Linked DNA regions of Pelodiscus sinensis. The protein of the gene in region 3 purifies or fractionates together with the protein of the main gene of each other region. This does not show direct contact. Links are inferred from orthologs where the notes say so. Each region holds a gene or a part of one and is shown on either strand. Other genes may lie near its edges. The genes, in order: HNRNPA2B1, MRPS9, HNRNPU and DDX5.

Region 1 (7,885 bases), on a different chromosome or scaffold from region 3:
AAGATTTCAATGGTGCACCCTTAGAGCTAAAAGAAGCTATTTAAGAAAATACCAAACCTGGTTTTGATATAGCTGCATATCCTGCTACCTCTCTCAGGCTCTGCAGCCACTAGACTGTCGATGCAAACCTATATACCTTTTTTACTGTTCAATTTCATATTTCTAATTACTGCACAGCTGTAAGACAATCTGCAAAGCCTGATTAAAGCAGCAACCACACAGTCTTATCAAAAATTGAATGATTAAGTACTAACCCATAAATAAGTTCCAAAAATCCACTCGGATTTAAAAACTAAACAAAAAACACCCACACACTAATGTTACAGCCAACTGAAAGATATGGGAAGAACGAGCCCCATTTTAATGGGGTTAACTGTCCTTGCTTAGTCTTTCTGGAGCATGCAACCAAAGCTTGAGGAGCTTTAGCCCAGGACTTAAGGCAACAGGCCTCTTCAGTCTCCTGCTGAAGCCCCTGGGCTTTGTCTCCTCCCCCACCCGGCCCAACCCAGGGTTTAGTCTGACTCAGACTTCAAGCCCCATACTGGCATCAAACTAACAATTGTTCTTGCACAGAGGGGGGGTTGTGGTGCCATAAAATTTGAGAACCCCTGCTCAATGGGAATATTTGGACCACTATATTAATGCTACAAGATATTTGCATAAATATTTTTCACAAATTACTCCAAACTTAGCTGGAGTGGGGCAAAGCTGAGACAGGGTTTGGGGAAATGGACTGCTAATGAAAACTTGGATCAAGGCACTACTATCATTTGGTATAAGCTACATATATTCATAACACATCTTCAGAAAGTATTATAAGCCAAGTTAACAAGAGCTACTAGAATAAGCAGTGTTGCTGTAAATCATGTTAGAGTAAAGTTGGTCCAATACAAACAAAAACAGTACCTCACCCACACCGTTTACCTATTAGAATATATGACATGAAACTTCTGCGGATCTGAAGGACACTTGCAAGACACTGTAGTTACCAAGGAAACAAAAATATATACAAAACTGTCATTTTTCACCACACAACCAGTGAGACTAGGAAGGAAAAAGAGGTAACTCAGTAGGGGGAACTAGGGTGTCTACACCTTACATTGGTTACGCTAAGAAAGTTTGAGAACATTTTGTGCACAGAACTTCTTGGGGGGCCGGGGAGTAGTAAGCATGACAAGCTTAATTTCAGCACTGAAGCTTTCATGCTGCAGCCACAAGAGCTACAGAACTATTCTGAAGTTTGACATTGGAGTCTCATATTTAAATTACCACATGGTGCATCAAAAATAGCATGTACTTGAGTAAATCAGTATTGTACATGATCCCATGCTATGCCCTGCCTTGGGTGGAACATGGACTCCATTTTCAGACTTCCAGCTCCCCCCTATTATTTACAGTCTTGCTGAGATGTTTAAAACTATCTACACTGTGATTTTAACATGTGTTACCTAGAACATATCTATACTGGGGAGGAGAGGAGATATTACTTTGCTACTGAGATTTGAATGAGAACAGTCTCTTTCCTTAAAAGTACTGTTACAACCTTGGCTAGCATCCTACCAAATAGGAAACTACAATATGGCCAGGCCTACACTATATTGTCTGCAGCAGCATAACGATGTATGAAAGGGGGAAAAAAACATATACCTAACAACTAAGTGGCAAAATCCTCATATAGATGGAACTTTTGCTGATAGAAGAGTGTTTCTAACTTACACAATGTCATGGGGCAGGGCAGGAGAACTTTACACTAGCCTAATGTTTGTAGTGAAAACAAGGCCTAAATGTTACCTGTGGCAACTTAAGCATGTCCAGCTACCTTCCATTTATAATCTCGGTGAGAACGTCTATTTTTGTACAAAGTTATAATAAAAAATACGGTATAAACGAGCTTTGAAGCTTTCAAGAATGTACTTCTCCCACAGCATGAGCGAATCTGCAAGGATGGGGATATGTTGAGCCTCTATTGAGAAGGCAAGAGTCCAGCCACAAGGAATGTGTTTTACAGAACAATACCTACAGAAATAGACAAAGAATGGCCATAACCTGCTGCAAACTGCAGCTTAAGACCTTAACAAAAATGGCGGGAAGAGGTAAAAGAGCAGGAGCTTCAGATCAGCATCCGAGTACTGCGTGCCCGCCAAAAAGTTCATGCGCGTGTGTGTGGGGCGGGGGGGGGGGAGGAGGTTTAAATTCCCCGCTCCCCGCGACTGTTACCCGTACGGGTCTGTTCAAGAGGAGCGGTAGCGGTGCCTCCGCAAGTCCACCTCAGCACCCTCCCAACGGGGCAAGGGCCTGCAATCTCCAGGGTCAGAGCAGCAGCTGCGCGGAGCCCGCCATGTGGCAATGCCGGGAGACAGAGGCACCCGCCACTGGAGAGAGAAGGAAAATGGCGCCTAAAAGCAACAACCCTAGGGAGAGCGATGCCGCCGAGAAAAATTCTGCCTGGCGCTACTGCAAGAACAGGGGTCGGCTTCGCTCGCAAGATCGTAAAAAAACTAGATGCCTAAAGCCCCCCCTCAGCTACCCCGCCGGCTCCCAGCCAAGCTGGACAGGGAACCCCGGTGCCCCCACCCCTACATCACCTCCTGCTCCGTACAGGCTGCCCGCAAGGTAACAGTTACTCCGCTCCGCACACCCTTCCCTCATACCCGCCACCCCTTACTCTTCCGTGGCGGCGCTTCCCTGCAGCAGGGCTCTCCGGGCCTTTCCCGGCAAGCCGGGGTCTATTCCCCGCCATCCCGCCGCCATTTTACCCCTCCCCCTCATTACCGCCATTACCATCTGCGCCTCCCCGGACTGATCCCGGCGCTTCCCAGGCCCGGACATAGACCCGCTTCGCTTACTGCCCTCCATTGTCACCCCCAGAGCGCACGCGGCTCGCTAGAGCGACAGGAGCTCGGTTAAACCGTCTGTGAGGCGGATCTAGGGCTCGCCTCCGCGTGCGCTGTTGCCGCAGCGTGTGCCTCCGCCTCCCTCTGCTGCGCACCAGCCCAACTGCCGCCGGCGCTTCCAGAACCTTCCTCCCCTCTAACGTCTCTACTACGGAAAAGCACCAAGACTCGCCCACTGCGCCACCAAGCGTATTAGCGAACGGGAAGTTCGAACGCCTCCCGCTGCGCTAACAGCGTAACAGTTTTAAGAATATGCCTGCCATGACGCAAGAGTACTAACTCTTGCGAGCCGAAACGCACCTTGCGCAACTGTACACCCGAGACGTGCGCTATTTGCGTACCACCCACCTCATGGCCGGCGTAACCCTTTTTGAGAATACGACCCAACCTTTTTAGTAATGGCTGCCTTGTTACGTATTTTTAAATGCATCGTCAGGCAATGGTCCGTCCGCCCCTCCCTTTCCTCTAACTGTCGCCGGCTGCTTGGACCGCAAGTGGAATTAAATGCTCCCCGGAAGCGCCCGCAGTTCTGCGGAACGCTCCTTTGTGCTTTAGTAACGTAGTAAAAAAGCTCAACAGCTCCGCTAGCAATGGCTGTCTCCGAGAAGAACCGACGCAGGCGTCGTCGTGGACCAACTCCACTTCGGCAAGACCCGGAAAAGCCCGAACTAGCGCGATCCACTTCGGCAGTTTCCGGAAAGAGCCGAAACAGGCTTCCTCGACTACGAAGGTCTCTTCGGTAGTTTCCGACAAAGAAGCGGGAAAGCCTCTCGCGTCCGAATAGAGCCGAAGCTCCCGCTTCGGGTTTTTCCGGAAATTGCCGGAGCCGCCCGGAGACCGATCCCAACAGCAGCAAAAGGACTATAATTAGCCAAAGGGGCCCCCTTTCTCCACCTGTGGTGCTGGCAGAGCGTGGGCAAGGGCCACGGGGCCAAACCCGGAGCGCGAGGAGTGCGCGGCCCTGAGACCCCCTTTGTTGGCGGGGCGGCCCCTTTGCCTCCGGACGCCTGGGAGGAAGTGGCCCGATTTGGCGCCAGCAGCGAGACGCCGCCTGCCAGGCCCGCGAGCGAGGCGGACCCCGCCGTAGCCAGCTTCGCGCACAGCGGCCCCGCAGCCCAGGGTGAGTGGCGGCCCCAGTTCGCCGGGGAAATGGCGCTTCGGCAGCTCCCCTCCCCCCGCCGAGCTCAGTGGGGAAATGGCCGCGGTCTCCCACCACCCGTCTTCGAGGAAGTGGCCGCATGGTCGCTGGGCCCCGGCCCCCAAGCCCCTCTAATGCTCCCCCCCCCCCGGCCTCCGCTCGCTCCCCCGAAGTTCCCCTTCGTAGCCCACCAGCCCCTCAGCCGATGCGGGAGCTCTCCGCGGCCAGCTCGGCCTCTAGGCCCGTCCCGGGGCCGCGCCCAGGCAGGGCTGGCCGTTGGCCCGGCGGCTATGGCGCGCTCCGCTGGGCCCCGGCACTCACCCAGTCGCTCTCTCGGTCTCCGCGAGGCATCTTGCTTCGCCCAGGCGCTCGACGAGCTCGCGTCCCCGTGTTTCAAGCCGCTCTCTGGGAGAGAAGCCTTGGCTGGCCCCCCTCTCGCTCGCGCCTGCACTGGTAGCGACACGGCAGCAGCAGTGGCGGCGGCAGGAGGCTGCAGCTAACGTGTAGGCGGCGTTGTGCGCGGTGCCCCGCCGCCAGCCACCGCGCAGCTCAGCGCTCCCACCCCGCAGCAGCCGCCCCAGCCTCTGCCCCCACCCCCTCAGATGTCGCTGCTGCTCAGTGCGCGCAGGGAGCAAGGAGGAGACGGGAAACCCGAGTCGCCGCCACCGCCAGGCACCATTGAAGTCTGTATCCTTCTCTCTCTTCTCGTTTCCCATTTAATCTCGCCAGGAATTGGGTAGCGCCCAAAATTCCTTGCAGCTGGGCTCGTGTTGGGTGTAATTGCGGAGCTCCCCTCCCCCTCCCCTCGCTGCCCGCCTTTACCTGAAGGGTGGCTACTGAAGGCGGGTAGCGGCGGTGCGGGGGAAGAGGGAGCTGAGCTCCGGGATCTCTAGTGGGTGCTTTGCCCCCATAGGTAGGAGGAAGGCTCTGGGCCCTAACAGGGAGGGGAGCGCAGCGCTTAGACGCTGGGTGCAGCCTGGGGAGAGGCGGAGGGGGGTGCGTTCAGGGGACAAAGCGACGCCGCCAGCCCCGAGGGCGGTTTTTCCACTGTCCGCCCAGCTTATTCTTGGAGCGCAATGGTCGTGTTCGGTGAGGGGGCAACGTGGCGCCGGGAAGGGGCCCTCGTCCTTTTTTGAGAGCGGGTGTGTGAAATGGTGGAGTGTAGGTTTAGGCAACACGCATGACTCGCCGGCTGTTCCCTCCGCCGACTAGAGGCAGGGGCGCAGGGTTTCCTCCTCTGCGTTGGCGTGCAGGTTGGCCCTACTCCTTGCTCAGCTAGTCCCGTTAGGTCACCCGGGCCTCGTATGCGCCCATCACAGGCCTGTGGCGCAGCCATACCCTTCATTCCTGTGCTATGGGCCTTTGTTTCCCTCCTCTTCTCCCCCTCCCCCCTCCAATCGCAATGAATCCTAGATGAAGTGCCCAGCAGCAGGGCCCAAGCCTCTGCCTGTCCTTCGCTGGACTTCTTGGCTACAGTACCACCTCTCGGGCTGCAAGGGGGTGAGAATTGGGCAGGATCGCTGAGTCAAAGCCCTCCTCTGACTTCCATATAGGCTTTTTTTTGCCTTGATCATTTTGTGATTTGCAGGGATGGGTGACTAAATGTATGCCCAAAGAGGTGGTTAGTGTAAGCAACTGCATGGGAAAGAGGATGAGTTTTCTTCAGACCATGTGGTTTTTATGTAATTTATATAGGTTAATTCAATGTATATTTCTTAATTAAGCATTTTAGTCTTCGCATACAGTGTACACAGTTTTGCAGTTTGTATCTGTATTAGCCTTAACTCTTGCCTTCTGATCCATACATTTGCAACATTATAGTTTTAATATTCTGCAGTTTATATTTCCTGCTGTGTCAGGATTACTGGTAACTCACTAGTGAATTATGCTACAGATACTTTGTTGCTAACTAAAATTTCACTTTTGCATCTTGAAAATGCTGTTAAATATCTTAGTTAATTGCTTGAAACTGAACACTTTTCCTTCTTGGGTTTAAGGAAATGGTTCTCCCCACCTCTCTCTGAAACATCTCTGCCTTATGCTGGTAGGACTTTCTTGCAACCTATCATACACAATCAATAGCTAGGATCATGACTAGCATTATGGTGTGTTTGTGCATTCTGCTGGACAAAGCAGTAATCTTTTCTGGATTTAATCCACACTTGACATGTTATGTGCAGTGAACACATGGGGGTTGGAACAAGGACCATGCTTGTATGGGGATGCCTTTTTCTGAGTAACTTAAATTTCCTTTTAATTGTCATGCATTTTTCTAGTAAAGCTCTGCAAGTCTGCAATAAAAATGGCCTCCAATAAAACTACATTGGTAAGTTCATGAGCACCTAAAATATATAAGGATTTTTCTTCAAAATTATAACTTGGCATCTCCATGTAGAAGATACATCCACATCTCTCCTCCCCAGCATTATTCTGACTAAAATCTCAGATCCAGAAACTAAGGCTAATAGAAAGGACATTAACTTTGGCTTAAATAAAACTGCTGTTTTCCAGTGAAAGACTTACAAACAAAACAAAATCCCTTCTCTTTTTAATGGAGGCCTGTGCTCCAGTTCAGCTCTCTGACTTTCAGTGAAAATTACGTTTAATAACCTTTTACAGAAAACACTTGTGATTTTTTAGCCTCCTTTCAGCACCCCATGTAATTCATTGTATATTTAAAAGGGGGGGGGGAAGCATATTCGTTTTAACTTCTCCCTAGCTCCTCAGCTACAACTACGAGTGCAATTACCTAATACTAATATGATGGGGCATAGTGTGGATTGTGGTTAGAGCTGTTAGTAAATAACGATTCAATTGGATTTCATAGGAGCAGAGATTGTTTCCCCTATCTGGACCATTGTAACAGGACTTTGACATGTATCAAGTTCCTATGAAAATTCTTGATGTTAAATTGAGCCCAAAAAACTCTGAAGTTGAAGACACATAAATGCCACAGTAGTTGGCTTAGTATTCATTTAGCTGTGGCAGTACATGTTTGTAAAGGACAACAGTGTGGAAGTCTGTGCTCTATTTACCTAGTAGAAAAATAATAGGCAAATAGTACTTACTGACTAGTATAGCTAGTTTATCCCACATCCACACAAATACTAGTATCCTGTCTCCTGTCCGTTAATTGCCTAGTTATTTTTCACTGGACTGCAACTATATAACCCAGGGCTACTCAACTTTAGAAGACCCTGGGAGCCACAATGATACTCACAGAACATGCCAAGGGCTGCAATAAGTGTGGTTGCATATACATACAAATATATATGCAAATAGTTTCTTTCACACTGACAGGCATGAATACAAAGATTAAGCAAGACTACACAACACACAGGCCCCGTTTAAGTCAGTTCTGCTGACATTAATAAAAAGCAATATTTGCTGTCATATGCGTGGAAATCGGGTACTTTTAATGATCAACGACAGTCCAGGAATTTAACTACTAAAACTCATTTCAATAGAAGACCGTTATATTGACTACTTTTTTGTTTTGGCTCCCACCCATGGGCCGCAAACAAACAGGCCGCCTGTTGAGTAGTCCTGGTTTAAGCAATAACATTGCAAACAAGTTATCAAGCTAAAAAAACTTTTACTGGAATTTAGTATCAGACTCAAAGTGCTTGGAGACAAGGAAGAGAACCTGTTAATGCAATCACTATTTTTTAGGAACTTAGTTCTCATGGGAACCATGCTTCCTCCAGTATATGAGGAGACAGTTTATGTTTCTCTTGACACTGTAACTTTGATGTCTGACTTTAATGTATCTACACTATCTACCACAATGCTACATCAATGTTATATCTTTCACTTGTATAACATTTACAAGGTGAGTGATTATACACTGAAG
Region 2 (7,184 bases), on a different chromosome or scaffold from region 3:
ACAGAGGTCTAAGTATCAGATTTGAAATACTGGTGTCCTGTTTATTTAGTGTTACATCAATTTTCACCTATTAAACTCCACTCAAGTCAGTGAAGACACATGAGCATAAAACTAACAATACTGTGTAGAAAATAGGGATGTAAGCTTAACGAATAACAGAGCAGTCACTTGAATAGTAGCTTTCCCTGCCCCCGCTAACAAGGCAGCTCTTGTACATTTTAAAGAGAGCCACAGCAGTAGCGACACCTCTGCCTCCCTTGTTCCCTTCTCCTCCCCTACCCCCAATCGTGGAGACAGTGCTGGAGGGAACCGGTGGGGTCTTGACTGCTGCACCTCTCCCTTGGAAATGTACAGGGGAGCTCTTCAAAGAGAGAGGCACAGCAGGGTAGTTTAATCAAGTAGTCGATGGAAATTCCATTGACTACTCAATTAGTTGATTAATCAAAATTTAACATCCCTAATAGAGAATAAGTCCCCCTGAACTCCTTGAAACTTGGTTAGGGTTTTCACAGGCTATCTTCTCATTCTTGCATTTAGAGAAAGAATAAATAGGAGTGACACACTTACTTGCTTTACATTACTAACTGGTCTGCATCTTTAGTTGGTGTAATAGCTCCATTGTGCTCCAATGTAAACTAAACAGTCCTCATCTTCTCATTCTCTCTTCACACATAAGTCTATCCAGTCCTCCAATTAGTCTCATTACCTGTCACTTTGACCCTCTACATCTGAGAGATGGGCTGACCAGAACCAGACACTATTTTCAAACTAGGACTGTACCTCAACATATAGATTAGTGGTACAATATTCTCAGTATTATTTATACTCCATCCCTTGTGCAGAACACCTGAATATTTTGTTTGTTTCTAACCACTATTGCACACTTGAGGTGTCCACAAGGACACCAAGTCTTTTTCCTGAATTGTTACAGTTATTTAGAAACCAGAAATTAATGTAAATAGATTGAGTTACTCTTTCCAATATACATTATCTTGTGTTTGACTACAGTGAATCATCTGTCATCTGTTGCCTAATTGCTTGGCTTTGTTAGGTCACTCATGAGTTCCACAGTTTTCACCATCCTAAATTATGATGTCATTTCAAAATTTTGTCACTTTCACCCTCTTTCTAGATCATTAGTGAGATTACTATATATTTTAATATAGCATTGCTAATACAATGGTCAACACAATACCTAGACCAGACCTTATGGGTGACTTACATTTGCTTTTCAAACTGTAAATGCAAATTAGCAATAATTCGACTTTTTAACAATGAACAAATCATCAACTCATCATCTCTGTAGTCTTTCAGTCAAAGACTTGACCATCTTTACAGAAAGAAATGTTGTCCTTTACCCACATAACAGTTGTGTATATAACAGAAAAGAATAAGTTCCTCTCCACTGCATGAATCCCTGGGTGAAGCTCTTTGCCTTACACTTTGTAGGTCAAACCAGACCATCATGCTAGTCCTTCCAGACTTAAAATCAACAGTCTCAAGCTATAGCTATACTATGACCCTTACAGTGACACAGTTGTATTGTATTGTACCACTGTAAGGTCTTCCAAGTAGGATGTCAGCATTTCTAGTCCCCAGGGAGGTGGAGCCGGGAGTGCTGGGGCATTGTGGGAAATGCTGGCTGCTTAGCTTCTCAAGGGTAGAGCCTGAGGGGTGATGACTGGCTTACACCTGGCCATATTTGTGTCTGGCACCATGGCTTTAGGCTTAATCTTTGTATTCATGCTCGTCAGCGTGAAAGAAGCTATTTCCATGTATATTTGCTTGTATATACAATCACACTTAAATTGCAGCCCTCAGCATGTGCTGTATTATTGTGGCCCTCGGGGCTTCCAAAGCCAAGTAGTCCTGCTTTAGGCTATATCTACAGTGCACACCTTAAAACAACACAGCAGTGCTGCTAAAGTTGAGCCACTGTACGGTAAGCACTAAGCAGCATAGCTGCTCTTTGTCACGAGTGAGCTCTCTGAGCGCAAAATAAAACTACCCTCCAAAAGCGGTGGTAATGTCCATGCCTGGAGAGTCTCTTCTGCTGATGAACCACTGTCCTCACCAGGGCTTTTTGTTATTAAAACTTTTTGTTATTCCAAGGCAACTTAAAACCCCCCCAGCTAAGCAGCTAAAGTTTTAACAACAAAAGTGCAGTGCAGACACGGCCTTAGTAGCCTATAGTAAAGGGACTACCACACATGGGCAAGACGTGGTATTCCAGGGGTGGGCGATAAAGAAAGGAGGCAGCCCGCCAGGTCGCTGCAGTTATATTCCCCATGTGCCCCTGCAACAGTTGTGCCAGTTTGCTGAATTAATCCAACAGGCGCACACACCTAGCAGCCTGACAGCCGTTTCACCTGGGGCGGTAAAGATACAGACCTAAGCCAAGGCCACCGGGGGCGCGACAGCGGCAGGGCTACGGCGGGTGGGACAGAAGAGGGTTTCCCATCGCAGCGCGCTCGGGCAGCGCTAGGTCGGGCCGCACGGGGGGGGGGGGGGGCGGTGTCGGGGAACCGGACCAGGCGCTCCGGGGTGCCAGCTGTTCACAGGCCCCCGCTCGCCCCGCACCCCACGCGGGGACCCGATGCCGGCGCGCTCAGCCGGGACCTGCCCGCGGGCCCCAAGCAGCTGCCGGGCCGGGTGCCCTGCGGCCCGATCCCAGCGTCCCCCGCTCCGAGGGGGCAGGCCGGGCGGGAGGCGGCTCCTGCACCCGCCGGGCTGGGCTCGCCCCAGGCCTAGGTCCCGCGCCTAAACGGCCCCGGGGGAGGGGGAGGGGGAGGGGGAGGGGGAGCGAGCGCTCGGTTCCGGCCCCCCCCGCTCTTACCTCCGCGCGCCACCTCTCCTGGCCTCCCAGCGCCGCGCGCCAGGAGCGGCTCGCTCGCAGCACGCGCCTAACGGCCACCGCCATGTTTGCTGCCGTCCAGGGCTGTCAGCGTCGCGCGAGCCGGGGGAGGGAGGAGCCACAGAAAAGAGAGGGGGCGGGGGGAGAGGACCCAAACAGCTTGGCATCGGCGCAAGCGCGCTGAACCGCTTGACAGGGGCAAGGGCCGGCGCTCGGCTGTCGTCGGGCTGCGGATTGGCTGTGCGGGGGGAAAGGCGAGATTTGTTGCTCTCACGTGATCCTGGCGGGGGAGCCGGCGCGCGCGCGCACGGGCGCGACTTCACCCCTGTCCGCGAGCCTCTCGCGCTGCAGCCGCGGAGCTGCGTGCCCAATGGAATGTGCCCGGGGAGGGCGCGCGGCTCGGCTGGGCTGGGCTGGGCTGGGCCGGGCTTTACAAGGGCAGGAGCGGGTTTAAGGCAGAGCAGCAAGGGTGGCTGGAACAACTTGGATAGTGGGGTGGTGCTAAGAGCCATTGAACCAAACTGTAAACCCTGTGTATGATAGAAACTACTTCAAGCCAGGGGTCATAGGCAATGGGTAGGGGTGCATGTGGAGGCACCCTATATTCCTCCCCTTCCACTATCTGGCGGTGGGGAAGACACAAGTCTGACATCTCCAGCCCATTTGGGCAGGTCCCAAGCTGCACCTCTCTGGGGAGTACTAGGAAGAGGTTTTGTGGGGAAAGGTGGAGCAAGGGTGGGGTGGGGGCAAAGCAAGTGAATGCCAAGAGACAGGGCAGGTGCCCACTTCCTTCTCCTGCCAAGCATTGCTACTGCCAGGAGTGCTGCAGCACCCCCTCCCTGTACCCTTACTTTCAGCAACTATGGGTTCCCCTCACTGTTTCCTTGAGCTAACAGGACATGTGGCTTGAGTGTTGCAGTGGGAAAGGTGGCACCAGGCAGTGCATTGTCACTTGCCCATTATTTCCAGCCCTATATCCCTATATCTAGTGCTTGGTATTGCACCTCACATCAGGCTAATGGTCCCATGGGTTGTATGCAGTAATGTGCATGTTAGCTACTCATTCATCTAGGCTCTGCCTGTTCCAGTTATCTGGGCCATAACCCTGCAAATGGGTGGCATATAACTACTTTGACATAAGGGGATTTCTCCATAAAGTTACCTGTGTAAATAAATAATAATAAATCTGCTTGAAATAGAGGAGAGACCTCATGAGGGCTTCCCTACTGATACACAAACTATGTAGGGCTCCACAAAATTTGGGGTACCAAATTGCTCCCAATTTCATAGTGCACAAGCATCTGCATATCAAGTCTGTTGGCCAGCCTGATCCCCCAGTTGCAAACTGGAGAAAAGCAGCACTTTCCACTTCTGTGACACCTCCACCTGCTTTCCTGAAGCTGCAGGTGAAACTCCCTGCCCTCGTGTACTCCTGTGCCCCATATTTTCTGTTCTCGCAGCCCCACCGTGAGAGCAGAGGGGATGCAGGTGCTAGGCTGTGTAGGCACCAGCATTGCTAGGGATAGTTGTGGACTTCATATTACAAATCCCTTATGTCACGGATTCTCTTCATTTTGTGCCTTGCATGCTGTAAGTGCTTCAAAAACAATAGTAACCTGCTGTCATATAAGTCAGAGCAAAGGTCCATCCCACTCAGTATCCTGTCCTCTGACAGGGTGTGTCTACACCACCCTTAGCTCAAAATAAGCTACACAACTGAGCTACACAAATTGCGCAGTTTATTTTGAGTCAATTTCTAAATAGATTTTTTTTTGTAATTTTGCACTGTCTGCACAGCACTAAATTTCAAAATAAAGTGCTATTCCGAAACTTTCCTTAATCCTTATGGATCGAGGTTTACATGGATGTCGGAATAGTGAGCCCATTATTTTGAAAGATATTTCAAAATAACAGGCGTGCTGTCAAGACACGGAATAGCTATTTTGGGATACCGGAAATATCCTGAAATAGCGCTGCAGTGTAGACATAGCCATAGTGGCCAATGCCAGGCACTTCAGAGAGAGTGAACATAATCGGTAATCATCAGGTTATATACTCCATGTCACCCATTCCCAGCTTCTGGGAAACAGAGGCTATGGACACCACCATCTCTATCCATCCTGTCTAACAACCATTGATCGTTCTATCCTCCATGAATTTATCTAGTTCTTTTTTGAACCTGGTTATAATCTTGGCCTTCGCAGCACAATTTGCCAGAGTTTCATTGATTGATGATGTATTGGGTAAAAAAAATACTTCTCTTTGTTTTTAACTTGCTGCCTATTAATTTCATTTGGTGACCACTAGTCCTTGGCTGTGTCTAGACTGGCAAGTTTTTCCGCAAAAGCAGCTGCTTTTGTGGAAAAACTTGCCAGCTGTCTACACTGGCTGCTTGAATTTCCGCAAGAACACTGACGATCTCATGTAAGAAATCAGTGCTTCTTGTGGAAATACTATGCTGCTCCCGTTCGGGGCAAAAGTCCTTTTGCGCAAAAGGGCCATTGTAGACAGCTCAGATTTGTTTTGTGCAAAAAAGCCCTGATCTCGAAAATGGCGATTGGGGCTTTTTTGCGCAAAAGTGCGTCTAGATTGGTACGGACGCTTTTCCACAAAAAGTGCTTTTGCGGAAAAGCATCCATGCCAATCTAGACGATCTTTTCCGCAAATGCTTTTAACGGAAAACTTTTCTGTTAAAAGCATTTCCGGAAAATCATGCCAGTCTAGACGTAGCCCTTATGTTTTGGGAAAGAGTAAATAAAACTTCCTTATGTATTTTCTCCAGTCATGATTTCCTAGACCTCTATCATATTTCTCCACCCTTTTAATGGTCTCTTTTCCAAGCTGAAAAATCCCAACCGTTCTAATCTTTCCTCATATGGAAGTTGTTCCATATCCCTTATCTTTTTTGTTATCCTTTTCTGAACCCTTTCAATTCCAATATATCTTTTTTGAGCTAGGGATACCACAAGAATATACAGTTTTGCACCAAAAGTTTAAACATGAACATAGGGGCTACGTCTACACTGGCCACAATTTCCGGAAAAGCCATGCAAATCAGGTAAGTCAGGATAGGGAAATCCGCGGGGGATTTAAATATCCCCCGCGGATTTAAATAAACATGTCCGCCGCTTTTTTTCCGGCTTGGGGAAAGCCCTTTTCCGGAGGATCTCTTATTCCTACTTTGAAGTGTAGACATAGCCATAGTGGCCAATGCCAGGCACCTCAGAGAGAGTGAACATAATCGGTAATCACCAGGTTATATACTCCATGTCACCCATTCCCAGCTTCTACTTTGAAGTAGGAATATTGTATTTAGAAGTTGTTACAGTTTTCTGCTGAGTAGGGTTCATTGATTAATATTTTCACAGCCTCTACATATAGGTAGCAAGTCTTCAGAGCTAAATGGAATTCATCACTGAGATAGATAGATCTGGTCAGAGAATTTTGACAATAGCATCTTGCCAAAGAAAATAGAAATGAACATTTTCAGCATTTTTCAGAAACTTTTATTATTTTCCAATTATTTTCTTAAACAGATCTCTCAAGACTCATTTTTAGGATAACTCTTTGCTTGAGATTGATTATTGAAAGTGCACCTCCACTCTGCATCATGTTTATGTTCCATTTCATCATCATCATGACAAATCCTAAAGGAAAGTAGCCTAGAATGGCCACTCACATGGTTCTAGAATACCAGCCATTCTTGTACTTCTGGGAACAGCATGGGCCCACCCATGCTGAGATGAATTTGCCACAAAATCATACTTGAGGGGATGGAGCAGTATACTCTTCAAAATGGCATTCCCCGTCCCATACTGGACAAAACATCCAGATTTTGTCTTAGTACTGACTGGAGGACAAGCCACCCCAAAAGAGGACTGATTTAAAACCACACCAGTGGCCACTCTAAGGTAGCCTCCTTGCAGGTTGAGCACCACCCTGATCAATTTCTAACAAGGTCCTTAAGATGGTCTGGCTGGATAGTCAGTTTATTTCCATCACTAGCAATCTTATCACTTCACTGAAGCGTCTGGTGATCAAGTGACCACTGACCAGATAGAAACATTCCTAGGTAAGCAAACTTCAGAGTTTGCTGTCTTCCAACCTAATAATATTCCCATACCAAGAAAGGTACCAAATCTGAAGCAGTTCTGATACAGGCAGTTGAATGATTCAGCTTCAATATCCTAATTTCTGATCTTGTTCTGACATTTACAGCTGACCAAGACAGCAAGAAACGAAACTGTCAATACAGTGTTCTTCAGCCTTTCCCTAATGCACTCATTAGCTGCCCATCAGATGGTAGCTGGTTACAGTCTACTCCTACCTG
Region 3 (7,499 bases):
ATGCTACTGCCATGTCACATCTTAAAGACCAAGTCCCCTCCCCCACACACTTTAGCCTTAGTGGCAACAGCAAGGGCTCACAAGTTGGTCATTTTCTCCCCATTGTTTTTTCATAGTAAATTTGTAATCACATAATACATGGTTTGAACTGGACATACTAGTGCTGAATTAATTCCAACACTAATGTACAGTTCACTTTACAAATGAACAATAAAACTTAACTGCCTTATGAGGTTTGTACCCAAGTGGTAAGAATTCTCCATGTATACCAGCTCATTCCTGCTTTGAGCTAATGACTATCAATTAGAAGTCAACATATGGTTTGTTCTAATTTATTAATATCAGCAGGATTACTTCATCGCAATACTGCTCTTATCCGTGTAGTGTTTAAGCTATGAAATTGAGGTAAACTGCTTCTTTCCTCCCAAGTTACCAGGGCTGAACCATAACAGAGCCTGAACATATTTCATAATTAAGTTCTCAATCTGAACCAGCCTGAGGTCCTCCTCCTCCCCCACTGTGGTTTAGGTCCTCTGTATTCTCTCCTCTCCACTTTGAATCTCATTTGAGAAGACCTGCTTCAGTAACCAGTGAACTTTTTGGAAAAGTTTAAGTTCACCCTGAAGCCCTTTCCCCAGCCTAATTCAACAGCAAAACTGGGGGTAATATTTTTAAAGTTAAAAGAACCATCATACAGAGAACAAAATAAGAGGAAAGCCCAGGCTTTCTTCATATACCATAAAACACAGAAAAAGGGCATAAGCCTCAAGGACTTCAGAAGTCACTTTTAATTATGAAAGCAATCTGTATGTTCTTACTACAATTCATCAAGCAATTTATTTTTAAAAAAATGTCGTTAATTTTTTTTAAAAAGTACTTACAAGTATCAAGACAAACCATTGTATCATCAAACTGTTCATCTTCCTCTTCAACAGGTGGTTGAGGAGATTTGGCCCTAGAATCAACAATAAAATTTGATGAGTTTTTCCTCAACTGTTTTTACAAAGTAATTAATACCTGGCTTCTCTTCAGAGATCTAATAATATTTAGTGCTTTGAAGTTTCTCTACCTGCTGTACTTGTTTTCCTCAATGTACTCAAAGTATCCCCGACCATGGTCTTCACGAGGCCTCTTCACACCTCTCTTTTTATCACCAGGTTTTTGTTCTGTTTTAGTATCGCCTACAGAAAGTAAGTTAAGAGAAAAATATGTTTAAGGTAATTCCTGTTGAGAAATGTGTTTTAGTTTTAGTTTTCTGGGGTGGTATTTCCCTAAATGCCAGGTTTCAAATTCAAACATGTAAGAAGTCTCCATATAAAAGATATCCATTTAATTTTTGGGCAGGTAACTGGTGTGCTCTTAATCATTTAGATAAAATCTATTAGGACAACACTGCAAATTTTAACGGCAGCACTAAGAATCTGACAATGATTTCAAGTTACCTCATGAATCGTCAGACTTGTGAAAAATGTGACAAGAATAATATGAACTTGTGTGTACAAGCTCAACAGAGAAGACACCTGCTGTGTTCAGACAAATGGGAGGTTAGGCAGAAAGCAGACCAGTAGCTCACTGTATTAAATGGATCGTTTACACCCTCCTTCCCTTCCCGCCGCGGGCACAGTGAAGCCAAGCACAAGGGCGCTACACAACTGCTGCGCCTCTCTCCCCGCGTGGCCACAGGCGCAGCTTGGCGGCGGCGCAGCTCCGCATGGGGCCTGGCCGCAGGGAAGGGGATTCCGCCTCCATTGTATCGAGCGTTCCAAAAACGCGAGCCTGAGCAGCAGCCAGGACGGAAGTAACGTCACGCCGCCGAACGTTCGTTTGCACAATACAGCGCGCCCCAGCGGCCCCTCCTGAACCGCCCCTCCCCCACGGCGCAGCAGCCCATGCCCCTCGCTCCCCCCCCCCATCCCCCGCCGCGCTCGGAGACTGGCGCAACGGTCCCGCCCTCCCCCATCGCCCTCGAGCAGCGACCCCACCTGCCCGAGACACCCCCCCACGAGGCCGCCGGTGGGCGGGGGGAGGAGGAATAAGGAGCGCGAATCCCCTCGGCAGCCGGGCAGGGCCCGGATCTCGTGCCGAGCTCCCGGAAAGGCCCCGGCCACGCACTCACCGCCGGCAGCCTGGGGCCCGGGGCGGCCGCCGCCGCCGCCGCCTTCCGCTTTCTTCTTGTCCTGCTGCGGCTGGTACTTGGCGGGGCCCGCCGAGGCGGCCGGCGCCGTTGCCGGGGGTCCCGGGGCGCCGCTTTTGCTGGGCGCCTCCTTGGCGGGCGCCCGCTGCTGGGGCTGCAGAAGCGGCGGCGGCTGCTGCTGGGGCTGCTGCTGCTGCTCCCCGTGCCCGTTGGCGTCGCCGGCCTCAGCCTCCTCCTCTTCCTCCTCGTCGGCGAGCTCGTCCTCCCCCTCCTGGAAGCCCTGGTCGTCTCCGTTCTCATCCTCCTCTTCCTCCTCCTCCGAGCCGCCCGCCTCCTCCTCCATCGGGCCGCCCCCGGCCCCCGCCCGGTCGCCGTTCTCCTCGCCCAGCTCCATGGCGTCGCCATCGGCCGCCTCCATCCCCTCCTCCTCGTCGTCCTCGGCGGTGGAGGCCGCGGCCTGGTCGGGGCCTCCCCCTTGGCCGATCCCGGCCGCCTCCCCCTCCATGCTGCCGTTGCCGGGCTCGGCGGCGCTGCCGGCGGGGCCTCCCCCGCCGGCCTCCTCTTGGTCTAGCGCGGCCTGGAGCCGCTCCATGAGCTCGGCCTTGAGGCCCTTGTCGGAGAGACGCCGCTTTTTCAGCTCCTCCTTCAGCTCCGACACTTTCAGCTTCTTCACGTTGACGGGCGAGCAGCTCATGGCGGCGGCGGCGCGGTGCCTGGCGGCGCTGGGCTCGGTCGGGCGGCGGCGCTGGGTCGAGGCCCCGGTGGGACGCGGCTGGGTGGGTGGCGCGGCTGGTTCGTGCGGCTGCGGCAGCTGCAGAGCGGACCCGCCTGGCGCCAAATCCTTTCACCGAGCTCGCGAGGGAGAGACGCGCCTCGCGGGGGCGAGCACGCAGCTTGGTGCCCGCCCTGCCCGCGCACGCAATATACCCCCCCCCCCTTTCCTACTTACCGTAAGTGCCGCCGAGCGCCTCCAAAACCCCACTACCGTAAATGCCCGCCCCAGCGCATTCAACCTGCCTAGCCCCAGCTTTTGCAGCGCCGCGAAAGGGGCAGGTATGAACCTTTCATGGGACAGGAGGAACACCAGTGCTCTTACCAAAGAGCCCCCGCGTGTTACTCTGGTTGTGCCACTGGCTGACCACGATTATAGACAGGAGCAGTGGAAGTGCAGCTGACTAGCTAGAAAGCTTCAACCTACAATCCCGTACCGTGTCCATTTAAATCTTGCATGTTGCCCAATAAGTAAGAAAAGATGTAGTCTCCCCTTCCAGAAGGGTAAATTGGAGTATTTTGGCTCTGCCTCAGGAAGCTGTGGGATCCCCATCTACATCATCCATCAGAAAAAGGGAAAAATACATTGTTAGTCTGTGGAACTGAAGGCTCCACTCCTGTGATCGGCTCCATGTACACAAATTGTGCCTGCTTGAACATCACTCAGGTTCCCTATAGGGTCCTCTTTCACCGATTGGCTTACAGAGTCAGAATCCAAGTACGGACCCGACAGCTCACACCTAGTCAGTCTGCAGAGTTCACAAGCATAGTAGGATCCAACCTCCTGGATCTAAGCCTTTGTCTGCCCATAAAAATTGTGCCGCCTTGATCATAACAGCAGTTACACCAGTAAAATGTTTTTAGGGTGCACAGTTATACCAATATGAAGGTGCTTAAACCAATTTAGTTTAGACCTTGTCTACACTAAAAAGGTTATACTGGTACAACTGAGTTATGAATAGGATTGATAACTGATATTGTAATAGGCTGACCTCTACCATGGGCACAGTTATACTAGCATAGAAGTGCCTTATACTGGTGTAACTGATTTTCCTTTCTGAACTAGAATAAGCTGTATTGTACATCACTAAGGGTGATGTACAATATTAACTATACTGGTATAATTAAAGCAGTACAGCATCTGTGTTCATAAAAGCTCTCATATTATTGCTCAGTCATCAGAAAAAAAAAATAATCCTCGAGTAGGGAGGATTCTCCCTTGAAATCAACCCTGAGTAATGCTCAGGTGACAGCAGCAAGGACTCGCTCTTTCGCACACACAGCCTGTAAAGAATATTAGAGGAAAGGTGGTGATAGCCCTGATCTTTTTCTAGCATTTATAAAGGTTAATAGATTTTACATCAAATTTAGAGCTGCCAAGTGAATCCTAAAATAGGGAGCCTCATGTCAATCTGGACCAGCTAAAGAGAGGTCAAGGTTGTTAGCTTGTGTCTGTATTAGGGGAAAGGTTGTTGTTTGGTCAGGGCTAGCCAACAAAGGTAATCAAACCCTAATCTTTTCATCTAAATTATGGTTGGGCAACCTAAGGCTGGTAGGCCACACATGGCTCGTCAGGGTAAGCCAGAAAGGTTGTTTACCTTGTGGATGCAGGTATGGCTACCCACAGCTCCTATTAGCTGCTGTTTGCCATTCTGGCCAATGGGAGCTGTGGAAAGTGGCACAAACCACTGTAAGTGACATTGTGTACACATAGCCAGATTTATTGTTTTAAGATGCCTTCCTATAGTTTGCAGACAACGCTGCATCAGTTTACAAGCCATTTTTGGGGTTTTCTTTGCAAGCGAAAGGGTAAACTGAACCCTAACAATGAATGGATTCAGTTTTGATATCACATGACTCCATGAACCTAAATACCATATTCATGTACTAATATGGCTGCCCATTGAAACACACAAATCCTAGCTTCCACCAGGAATTTTTACTCCCTAGCTTCAGATCCAAGCTTTACAGATTGATGGGCTCCTTTTAGCGTAAGCACTAGCTCCTGCCTTAATCCACTTAACACACATCTATATTGAATGGTACCCTCATTTTGACTCACAACAATAGTCCTACACTGAAGACAATTGTAAGGAAGCATCAAGAAATCAAATCCCTGTATGCATTCAATCATATTGGCCAACTTTAGTAATACTCTTCTTATACATCTATAGAGCAACCCTGGAGTATCAAAACGGCTAAGGATTTTCATGCATGTTGAAAGATTTACTTCCCCCAAAACATTCAAACTTAGGGGTCTAAAGTTAGGATCCTAAAGTAATATTTAGGCACCTAAATAGAAAGTCTAATTTTACAGAGATGTTTAACACATGCAGCACCCATTGAATTTTAATGGGAGGTGGGATTTTCAGCACCTCTGATCATTAAACCACTTTTGCTTATCCCTTGTCTACACTTAAGACTTAGATCAATGTATCTACATTGCATTACTAAGAATTGTGAAAAATTATGTCCCAAGCTCCAATGCAGTCACCATTGGCTACTGCTGGAGTGCTGGATTAACTACTGTGGTGGAAAAACCCTGTCAGATGCTGCAGCAAGTGTCCACCTATAATAGGGACGTTGACTATTCAATTTCACTATAACTATGTGAAAGCTTAGCAGTTACACAACTATTCAATATCTCCAGGGGCGGAGATGGCAGCCAGTGTACGCCAACCCCATTCTCGGGGAGTCCCCTGCCACACTGTGCTTCTGCCTCTGTTGGTCCATGAAGGGAACTAGTTCAAAAGCCAGCTCCCTGCACAGACTGGCTGCCTGCCACTCTGTGCTGCTGCCTCTGATACAGAGGCAGCAGCATGGGGTAGCAGCAGCCTCTGTCCATGGGGTCTGAGCTCTCCATGGACAAAAGCTGCTCCATGGGGAGCTTGGACACCCGTGGATAAGGACTGCTACTGCAAAGCTTGGAGTTCTTGCTGCAGACAGAGGCTGCTCAGTGGCAGCCTCCTCTTCTCCCCCCCCCCCCATGCTGCTGCCTCTGATAGGAGTCTTTGGCAGTTGGAACTGAGAAAGAATGGACATGAAAATGATTAAGATACACATAGAACCCTGTTTAGCTTCATTTTGTATGAACTAGCATCAGTAGGCTTCTGAAAAGTGACAGATACATTATAGTCATACAATCACTCTGTTAAAGACAATCTTTTCCCAAATAAAAGACTTACTAGTCTTGAGTCCTATAAATGTTTCAGAATTTTAAGGTTTTTTTTTGGGGGGGGGGGGGGCTATAGCCCTATTTTAAAAACAAAAAGTGTAATTAGGAGGCATGAGAGAAATATATTCCCCCCCCCCTTTTTTTAAAATAGCTTAGACAGCTGAGAGGACAGGACTTTACTCAAGTTTTCATCACCCCTTGTTTCAGCTCAGCCAAGCATATCTGAAACATTCACCTTTAGACAATTATGAACCTCTGAAAATAGGGAGTTCTAGTAGCAACTGTTTTACCACAATAAAACTTAGAGTTACTCAGCTAGAATGACAGATATAAAAACCCTCTACTAATGTTAAATTACAAGTGTCCATATTCTAGATCTTATGGCACATACCATTCTGTCACATGATAAAAGACACCCTTGTGCATCTAAACTGAAAGTGACAAGTAGGTGCTATAATTAAAGTAACCATAATACCCTAATTCCTTGTGGGGTCTATTTTCTTCTCTACTTATTCTGCATTTATTTTAGTTTATTTTTTCTTCTTGAAACATCCCTCAAAGATACTCTTAGAGCGTGTCTTTCGAACGCTTATTTTGCGCCCTGCTACAGTTTAACTTCGGTCTCCTCCTAGTTGACATTGATGCATACACATTTACTCCTTGAGTCTGGTTTTCTTATTTCGTTTGCCAAACTTCACTTCTCCTTATCACTAAATGGCTCTCTTCAAATTCCTGGCCCCCACTGACCATGGTCCTTAGTTTCCACTGCTTTTTGTCATCCATGTTCTTGGAAGGACTTTCTCCATCCTTCTTCCCCCTTCTCCCTCTCCCCCCAGAATAAAATATGGAAATTGAAGGAGTGGCAGCATATACTCAGTAGCTTCCACACTCCCATGTACTGTTTAAGCAGTTTTTGCTCAGAGACCCAATCATTCAACAGACTATCACAAGTTTTAGACTGGGCCCTGAGCGAGTGGAAGCTATGCCGTTTGATCAGCGCCCCATCCCACGCACAGCCTTGATTAGACTGATTCCAATTTATTTATGCCATTCTGTCTGTCACATGGCAGGAGTCTTCTGTGTGTCTGATAGCAATTCCGATCCTTTACATCTTCCAGACTGAGAGAGACAGACAGGGGCACTTCTCTGAATGTCTACAGTTTTAGTTTTGCTTTCTCCCATCTTCTCCCCTTTTACCCTGTGCTTCCCTTGATGCATTCAGTGGTCATTGGAGGATGGGGTCTGACATCAGTCCACTTCTTTCAGTGTCTGAATTCTAGCTGAAACAAAAAAACAGGACTATGTAGCACTTTAAAGACTAACAAGATGGCCCACGAAAGCTCATCACCTAATAAACCATCTTGTTAGTCTTTAAAGTGCTACATAGTCCTGTTTTTTGTTTCAGCTAGACCAGACTAA
Region 4 (7,551 bases), on a different chromosome or scaffold from region 3:
CTATAAACATTGTCAATATCAAATTAGTACACCAGCAGGGTAAACAAGCACAAAATCTTTCAATTTTTGCCAAATCTATTTAGAGAAAAGCTAGCTACAAGAGTCAAAGTTTTATGTAGGCAAACAAATTCCAAAAGATGACCAAAAATCTTTTAGAAGTGGATAAGATTGTCTTCCGGTAACACTTTAAAAAGTGTAATAGGCTTCTTTAGGTTTCACTGCCAAGATACCCTTCAACAAGTACCCTCAAAACCAGCCATCTTTTGACACAGGGGGTTATGCCCTCAAGCTAATCCAATTTTGGGAAGCACACTTTGAATTCTTCAGTCTTAGAGGACAGTCTATACAATGCACCTAAGCCTGATGGACTAGCTAAAACATGAAACTGACTACTTGCAAGGTTTATAATGATGCAGCATTCAAGTGCCTAACTTTTCTACTCAATCCACATACTCCAACCCCAACAATTTGCATTTAAGAAAGCCAGATTCCTCTAAAAGAAAAGAGCTTCATATTCTTATACTCACAATAGGTCCATCTCCTCGCTCCAGGAATGGCTGATGATTTATATGCACTATAGCAGGCAACAAGTACTGTGTGAAAACAAAAACTCATGTTATACATACATATATCTAAAACACTAGGAAATGTAACTAGATTTGCAGTTTTATGTATTAGTAACACTTTGAACATGGAAATGCAGTTACATAACCTGAACATTGTAAAGTTACAACTTACGGACAAGGTTTTCCCAGATCCAGTCTGTGCTACTCCAACCATATCCAGTCCACTCAAAGCAACAGGCCATCCTTGTGCCTGAATAGCAGTTGGTTCAGTGAAATTCTGTCCCTGAATTACTTCCATAACATTTGCTGCAAAAGAGAACCAATGAATTAGATGCTTGCATTCATGATGTCTGAGTGAACCCCTGGATATACAGGTATCTGTACTCACCAGGAAAGTTAGCTTCATAGAAATTTATAAGCGGTTTTGGACAGGTATGGCCCTTCACTGTGATTTCTTTGCTTGCTCTGTACTGTTCAACCTCTTGCTGCAAAACATAATTACATTAGCATTATTTAAAGCTTTATCTAGAACAAAATTGCAAATTGACTGAAATCAGTTGTATTCAAATGAAGTGTAATAATTTCTCTAAACTTACTGATTCATATCCCACATAATAAGTCGTCAAGTAAAAAGCACATTAAGTGTCAATTCCTGCACAGATAAACAATTTTAATTAAGCAAACAGCCAAGGTACATACCACAGTGCGTCTGACTACATCAGGATGCTCTTGATAAAAATTCTTCTCAAATTTGGGCAGTTCATCTAGGTTCCATTTCTTTTTCGTAAGTTTTTCTCCAGGGTTTCCAAATTTCTTTCCAGATAATGGTCCGCCTCTGCTTCCTCCAAATCGAGGGCCACCAAACCTAAAAAATTATTAGCCATGAAAATGTTTGCAAAATGTAACAGTCTCTTATGTGACAGTTAACTCACTTCCATAGTCAGATCAATGCTAAAATTCTCAATATAGCTAATTCCTAATTTGTGTTCATCAATATTTGGAGAAAGCATTTAGCTGCCCGTTTTCACTTCCAAAGTATAATAAAAGCCACAAGCAGCAGATTAGGATTAGTCACCAAATACCTAACACCCCAGATAAAGGAGCACCTAATTTTCTAAAGCATTTAAAATGAATCGCTGGAAACAAAAACAAGGCTAGCCCTAACGCCTTGGTAACAGAAGTGACACTCCCAGTGTGCGTCAGAGATTGAAGAAAGCCAGTGTATGCCCGTGGGTGGGGCGTTATGAAATCTAGAAACATTCTCGTAAGTGGGTGCCTATGGGATGCTTTTTAATTTAAACAAGCGCAACGAATTCGGGTAAGGAAACAAAACCGGCCGCAAGACGCTGGGTCCCAAATAAAAAGCGCATCGGAGTCCCTTCGACGGAAAACGATAAAATCACCAGCGCCCCCAAATCCCGTTCAGCCGCCAAGTACGCACCCCCCATCTCACAACTGGGCCAACGGGCACCGTGAAGGGTTATTCGCCCCTCCAGGCCCCGTCCCCATCCACCCGGGCTAGGCGGCGAAGTGCCCCCGCCCCCGCGGAGAACATGGCGGAGCGGCAGCCGCGGTTTCCTTTGTTTCTCATTTCTGTCTACGCCACATTTTCCAGCCGCTGCCATTTTAGAGGCTGGGCGGGGAGGGGGAGGAACAAAGGCAGCAGCCGGCATTTTGATTTCCCCTCAGTCACCGCATGGCGGGGCCGGCCATTCACATCCGCTTACACAACACAAAGCAAGAGCCGGCCGGCTTTAGCCCCAGACGCCATCTGCCCAGGGCGGTTCCGGAGCGGGAAGGGGGCAGTTTCGGTCACCGGAGGGGCGCGTGCACGACCCGTTAAACCGCCAAACACGGTTCCGACTGCCCGAGCCACCAAACCGGGAGACCTGGAGCCCGAGCAGCGGCGGGGGGAGGGGCGCGTTCCCGAACTCCCCCCCCCCCCCCCACAACCCGGAGCCGACGATCCCCAACCGTCGAGGGCAGATTGCTCAGCCGAGTTTGTACTTCACCGGCATTCGGTCACCAGCCCCCGGGCTCGCCTACCACTCTCCCCCCCCCCCCCCAGGTGCCCCCGACTGCTGGGATCCGATGCCATCGCCCCCCACCTCCGCAGTCAGCGGCCCCTCCCGCCATTCGCGGATCGATGGAGAGGGCGCCCATCCCCGCCGCCATTTTACATGGTTCAACGGCCGGTAGAGCCGTTCGGAGGAAACACGGCGGCAAGCGCCGGCCGGGGCCCCAGACTCACCCTCTGTCCATGTCGTATCCAGGCATAGCAATGGCGGCGGCGGATGAGACGAGCCCGAGCACTGAAGCGAGAGGCAGAAGGTACGGGAAGGTCAGGGACTGCAGGCGACTCTAATGAATGGGGAGCGTCGAAGCGCCCGAACGCCGGTTATATAGCCGGCGCCCCAGGGAATGCTGGGAACCGGGTCGTGACGCGAACTCAGAACCCTTCCCTCTGTCCTGCGTCAGAGACCGAAGCAGCCGTATTCCCCTCCCCCTCCTGTGGGCGTGGCCGCGAGCGCTAGGTTCTCGACTTCTCTTTTGCTTCGCCGGCCGGTTTTTACCCTCGCAGGCGGAAGTTCCCCTTTCCACTTCGGGCGTGGCTCGCGCTACAGTCACTGCCCGGCATCCCCGCCCCCTTTCCGTTTTCCAGGCGCGTGCCCAAAGCCCTCGAGCGGCGTCCTCCCCTCCCCCTAACTTCAGCCTTTCGCGCCCACGCTTCTCAGAGCGCGAGCCGCCCGCGCCTGCGCATTCCTGGTGGTGTCATCCCCTCCCCCTCATGCTCCGTTGTTGTCATCAGAGGCCTACTGTGTCCTTTGTAGCCCCTTTATGATGGAAGAGGAGCGGGAGGGGGGCATTAACCAGCTGGGGCGCTGCACAGTCCCTCTCTCTGCCCCGAGGCTGTATAGGGGAACCAGCCCACTCTCATCAAAAGGGCATTGCCCCCAACAGCCCCAGGTTCTGACATGGCTGTTCCCTTCTCTCTCTCTCACACACACACACCTAGTAAATGTGACTCCGCAGGTGGTTCATGATCGTTGGGAGTCAGGAGCTTTGTTTTATGTAGAATCCTGGGACTGGGGCTGAAGGGGACCTTGAAAGGTCATTAGGTCCACAAACCTTCAGAGAGGCAGGATAAACCCAGATCATCCCTGACAGGTGTTTGTCCAGCTTGTTCTTGAAAGACTTTAACAGTGACAGCCCCCGGGGAAGCCTGTTCCACTGCTTAACTGCTATTTGGAATATTTTCCTGTATCTTGCTGCAGACCAAGTCCATTACTGTGTCTATGGAGAACAATTGTTCATGGTCCTCTTTCTAAGAGCCCTTTAACATATTTCAAGCCTGTATCAGGTTTCTCTGTCAGTTTTTTTCTCGGGAATAATATGCCCAGGTTTTAAAACTTTTCCTCACCGTTTTTTTAAATCTTTGTATAATTTTTATTGATCTTCTCTGGCCTTTCTCCAATTTACCTACATCTTTCCAAAAGTTTAGTACTCAGATTTAGGCACACTACTCCAGCTGATGCACCACCATTGTGAAGTAAAACAAGACAATTAACTATAGTGTTAGCTGCAACACTATTTTAATACAAATTGCAGATTTATATTAGCTTTTTTCTAACTACATCACCTTGTTAAAATGTTCAATTTGTGATCATGAGAACCCCAGATCCTTTTCAGCAGTACTACTAACTAGACAGTTCCTATTTTGTAGTTGTGCATTTAATTTTTCCTTCCTAAGTGAAATATTTGCAATGTTTTTATTGAATTTCATCTTGATTTCAGATCAATTTTCCAATTTGTAAAGGGAATTTGGAAATCGTATCCTCTAAAGTGCTTGCAACTTCTCCCAGCTTAGTGTCATTTGCAAATTGTATAAGCATATTCTCTATTATCCAAGTCATTAATTCAGATCACTAAAAGCACTGGACCCCTGACTGACACTGTAGAACCCCACTAGATATGCCCACAGAAACTACTCTTAGTCTGGTCTTGCAATCAGTTGCCCACTCAGCATATAGTATTTCATATTACCCATTTACCATTACATTACCTCATGTTTCACTACATATTGCATCTGCACCATTTTCAGAAATTCTTCCTTCATTGCTTTAGCACCTGCTGATGCCCAGTTTTCCCTAGAGCTTCCATTGCTGCTAGGAACAGTGGAGATGCTCCCATACTAAACTAACAATGGGATATTTTTAAATTAGTGGTAAGTCTGGAGCTGGCAGCAGGAGTTGGGCCCATCCCAGCACTCACTGGCTGTAGCAGGAAGTAGAAGTACCTGGCTCCTGCCTATTCTGCTCTGCTAGCTCCCAAATGTGTCACTGCTTCCTGCTTCCAGCAGGGGTGGCCCCAATCTCTGCTGCCAGCACCAGGCCCCCTGATAATTCCCTGGACTGCCCTGGGCCCCACACTGACCCCAAAAGCGCAGATCCTGGGATGGTTGCTCCTCAACTGTCCATAGCACAGGACAGCGCTGTCTTCTGTTCTGTGAAAGAGCAAACAACATTTCCTTATTCTCTTTCTCTACATCTGTCAAGATTTTATAGGCCTATATCATCTTCCCGATGTTAAATTTCTTTCAAGCTGAAAAGTCCTAGTCTTTTTAATCTTTCCCCATACGGAAGCTGTTCCATACCCCTAATCATATTTGTTGCCCTTCTCTGTTGTGTCTTTCCCAAGTCTAATATATTTTTTGAGATGGAATGACCAGATTGGCACACACTATTGAAGATGTGTGCATACCCTGGATTTATATAGAGGTATTACATTTTCTTATTTATTATCTCTCTCTTTCCTAATCATTCCTCACATTCTGTTTTCTGACTGGACGCCCATAGCATCTAGCTATGAATCAGGACTTCATTGTGGTAGCTGCTGTATAAAGAATAAAAAGATGGTTATTTTCCCAAGGAGTTTACAAAGAAACCTTAGATGCTATATTTTGAATATGCAAAGCTATTTGATTTTTCCTTTGCTCCTTCCTTTTTTATACCAAGTGGCATGATATGTTCATTTATCAATTAAGTCATGGCTTTATGGAGGTCTCTGCTTATATTGAAACCCAGATTTGGTACTAGAGTCAATATAATTGACTTTCTGGTTTGTATGTCACTGTAATTCACTGCTCTCAGACTAGTAATTAAGATCCCAAATGCTTTTGTCTTCAGCCTTCTTCAGGTACCATACATTACATGTGTTTGGGATATTAATGAACAGGGCACTCCAGATTCTGGGGTAACATGGATTGATGCAATATAGAATTTTGAAAACTTTTAGCCACTGTTTCATGGATAAGCAAATGTGTTTAGGTCACTGGATATCTATTGCAGCTAAGGAAAGCTGGAAACTTCAGTGACAGCAGTAAAGGGGAGTAAACATAAGCAGGCAACATCTTTCAAAGTTTTCTCCTGCATTGGGGTGATAAGAGTCCCCAACATTCCTACACTCTAGAACAAGTCTTTCAAGATCAAAAACTTTCCTGTGCTTTCTTATCTTCCCAAGCACTCCTGAAGCCTCATTTCCCTTTAATCCCAATCCTCTATGTTCAAGAAAAGCAGCTTAAACTAAATCCTTTATTGACAAATTCCTCCCAGCATTTCCTAGGACAAACTTGACCAGAGCTCTCTCATTTTGTGCCGTCTCCTCCCCCAGTACTTCATATAAAGGGAGGTGGTGGAATCACCACCCAAGGGAGGTGGTGGAATCTCCCTCTCTGGAGATATTTAAGAACAGGTTAGATAGACATCTGTCAGGGATGGTGTAGACAGAGCTTGATCCTGCCTTGAGGGCGGGGGGCTGGACTCGATGACCTCTTGAGGTCCCTTCCAGTCCTATTATTCTATGATTCTATGATTCTATATCTACTGGGACAAGCCTTCTCGACACCTGAATTTGGCCTTGAAAGTCTACATCCAGTAATCTTGCATAATACTCTATTTCAGAGTGATTAGATGTACAGTGTATGTCTTTAGTTAGCAGTCTGTAGAACTGTTTGTTATGCCTTTCTATCATTCATTATGTTATTCTGAGTCAACATACAAGACTTTTCACTATCATTATGCATTATTGACTTGTAATACGATTATTGATGCTTTAAACATAACACATAGCTGCTGCTTCAATGAATTTAAAGTGAAGATAGACAATGAACATAGATAAGGGGAAGAAACAAAAAGAGTGAGATGCAGAAGTGATGTTTATTATAGGATTTAGGGTTTGTGGGGTTTTTTTTGAGCTAGAGCCATTGAAAGGAGTAAGAATTTTTGTGCTACCCATTAGTGAACATTTCTCAGACTAATGGTTCCACTCAAACCAGGATCAAGGGGACCCCTGCCTCTCTTTCCATAGGTCCTGGAACACTTACGTTGTTCTGTGTATGTAATGATACCCTGCATCACTAGGGTGTCAAACTTTCCCAACAGAATGCCATTTCGGACCAGATGCCATTGCCGCAAATGGTGTTCAGTCCATCAATTCTGGGAGAGTTGGAAATCCTATGCATCACTGTTACTGTCAGGAGTTGTGGGTGCTCCACCCTCTGATATGACCCTATTACTTTCTCTGGGAGGCTTCCTGTGAGGGCATACCCACACTGTCCTTCCTAGACTGTTCTCTGTGGGCAGTAGGAATCAGGTTGCCACTTGTCCTTGTTTTTACAGGAGCATCCCTGATTCGAGATATCTATAATGGGAAATCTGTTGTAAGGGTGCTCAGTACACTTTGCCAGCTGTCTAGTTTTATGAACTCAAGATCATCCTGAACATTCCAGTTTTTTTGTACCTCAGAGTTGGCAACCCTGCCTAGGACACTGGGTGCAGGGAAATGCACATCACTCCCAGGGCAAAGAGAAGAGTTCCTTGGGACACCGTTGTTGTTCTCATTGGGTTTGCTATAAGGTAGCCAATTTTGTTTAACCTTATTTCTGGAGATTTAATCACGACATAATCTTTAATTCCCGGCCAATCCT

What was found.
Region 1: the proteins of HNRNPU (region 3) and HNRNPA2B1 purify together in Homo sapiens (affinity purification with mass spectrometry; 4 studies listed by BioGRID and IntAct, with this or other methods). This does not show direct contact. The link is inferred for Pelodiscus sinensis from reciprocal best matches to the Homo sapiens genes HNRNPU and HNRNPA2B1.
Region 2: the proteins of HNRNPU (region 3) and MRPS9 purify together in Homo sapiens (co-immunoprecipitation; 3 studies listed by BioGRID and IntAct, with this or other methods). This does not show direct contact. The link is inferred for Pelodiscus sinensis from reciprocal best matches to the Homo sapiens genes HNRNPU and MRPS9.
Region 4: the proteins of HNRNPU (region 3) and DDX5 purify together in Homo sapiens (affinity purification with mass spectrometry; 3 studies listed by BioGRID and IntAct, with this or other methods). This does not show direct contact. The link is inferred for Pelodiscus sinensis from reciprocal best matches to the Homo sapiens genes HNRNPU and DDX5.

Annotation. Positions count from the first base shown.
Region 1 is NC_134712.1:197,287,071-197,294,955, reverse strand, and holds the start of HNRNPA2B1 (heterogeneous nuclear ribonucleoproteins A2/B1), read right to left. Parts: upstream 3,007-7,885; 5' UTR 2,857-3,006; coding exon 2,782-2,856; intron 1-2,781. Other genes in the region: CBX3 (chromobox protein homolog 3), read left to right, coding at 4,635-4,715. UniProt on the Homo sapiens protein: Heterogeneous nuclear ribonucleoprotein (hnRNP) that associates with nascent pre-mRNAs, packaging them into hnRNP particles.
Region 2 is NC_134711.1:233,198,887-233,206,070, reverse strand, and holds the start of MRPS9 (small ribosomal subunit protein uS9m), read right to left. Parts: upstream 3,016-7,184; 5' UTR 2,921-3,015; coding exon 2,837-2,920; intron 1-2,836.
Region 3 is NC_134713.1:132,534,126-132,541,624, forward strand, and holds the start of HNRNPU (heterogeneous nuclear ribonucleoprotein U), read right to left. Parts: upstream 3,018-7,499; 5' UTR 2,829-3,017; coding exon 2,117-2,828; intron 1,182-2,116; coding exon 1,070-1,181; intron 956-1,069; coding exon 882-955; intron 1-881. UniProt on the Homo sapiens protein: DNA- and RNA-binding protein involved in several cellular processes such as nuclear chromatin organization, telomere-length regulation, transcription, mRNA alternative splicing and stability, Xist-mediated transcriptional silencing and mitotic cell progression.
Region 4 is NC_134730.1:20,752,754-20,760,304, forward strand, and holds the start of DDX5 (putative ATP-dependent RNA helicase DDX5), read right to left. Parts: upstream 3,016-7,551; 5' UTR 2,844-3,015; coding exon 2,818-2,843; intron 1,432-2,817; coding exon 1,266-1,431; intron 1,052-1,265; coding exon 955-1,051; intron 873-954; coding exon 739-872; intron 594-738; coding exon 528-593; intron 1-527. UniProt on the Homo sapiens protein: Involved in the alternative regulation of pre-mRNA splicing; its RNA helicase activity is necessary for increasing tau exon 10 inclusion and occurs in a RBM4-dependent manner. Binds to the tau pre-mRNA in the stem-loop region downstream of exon 10.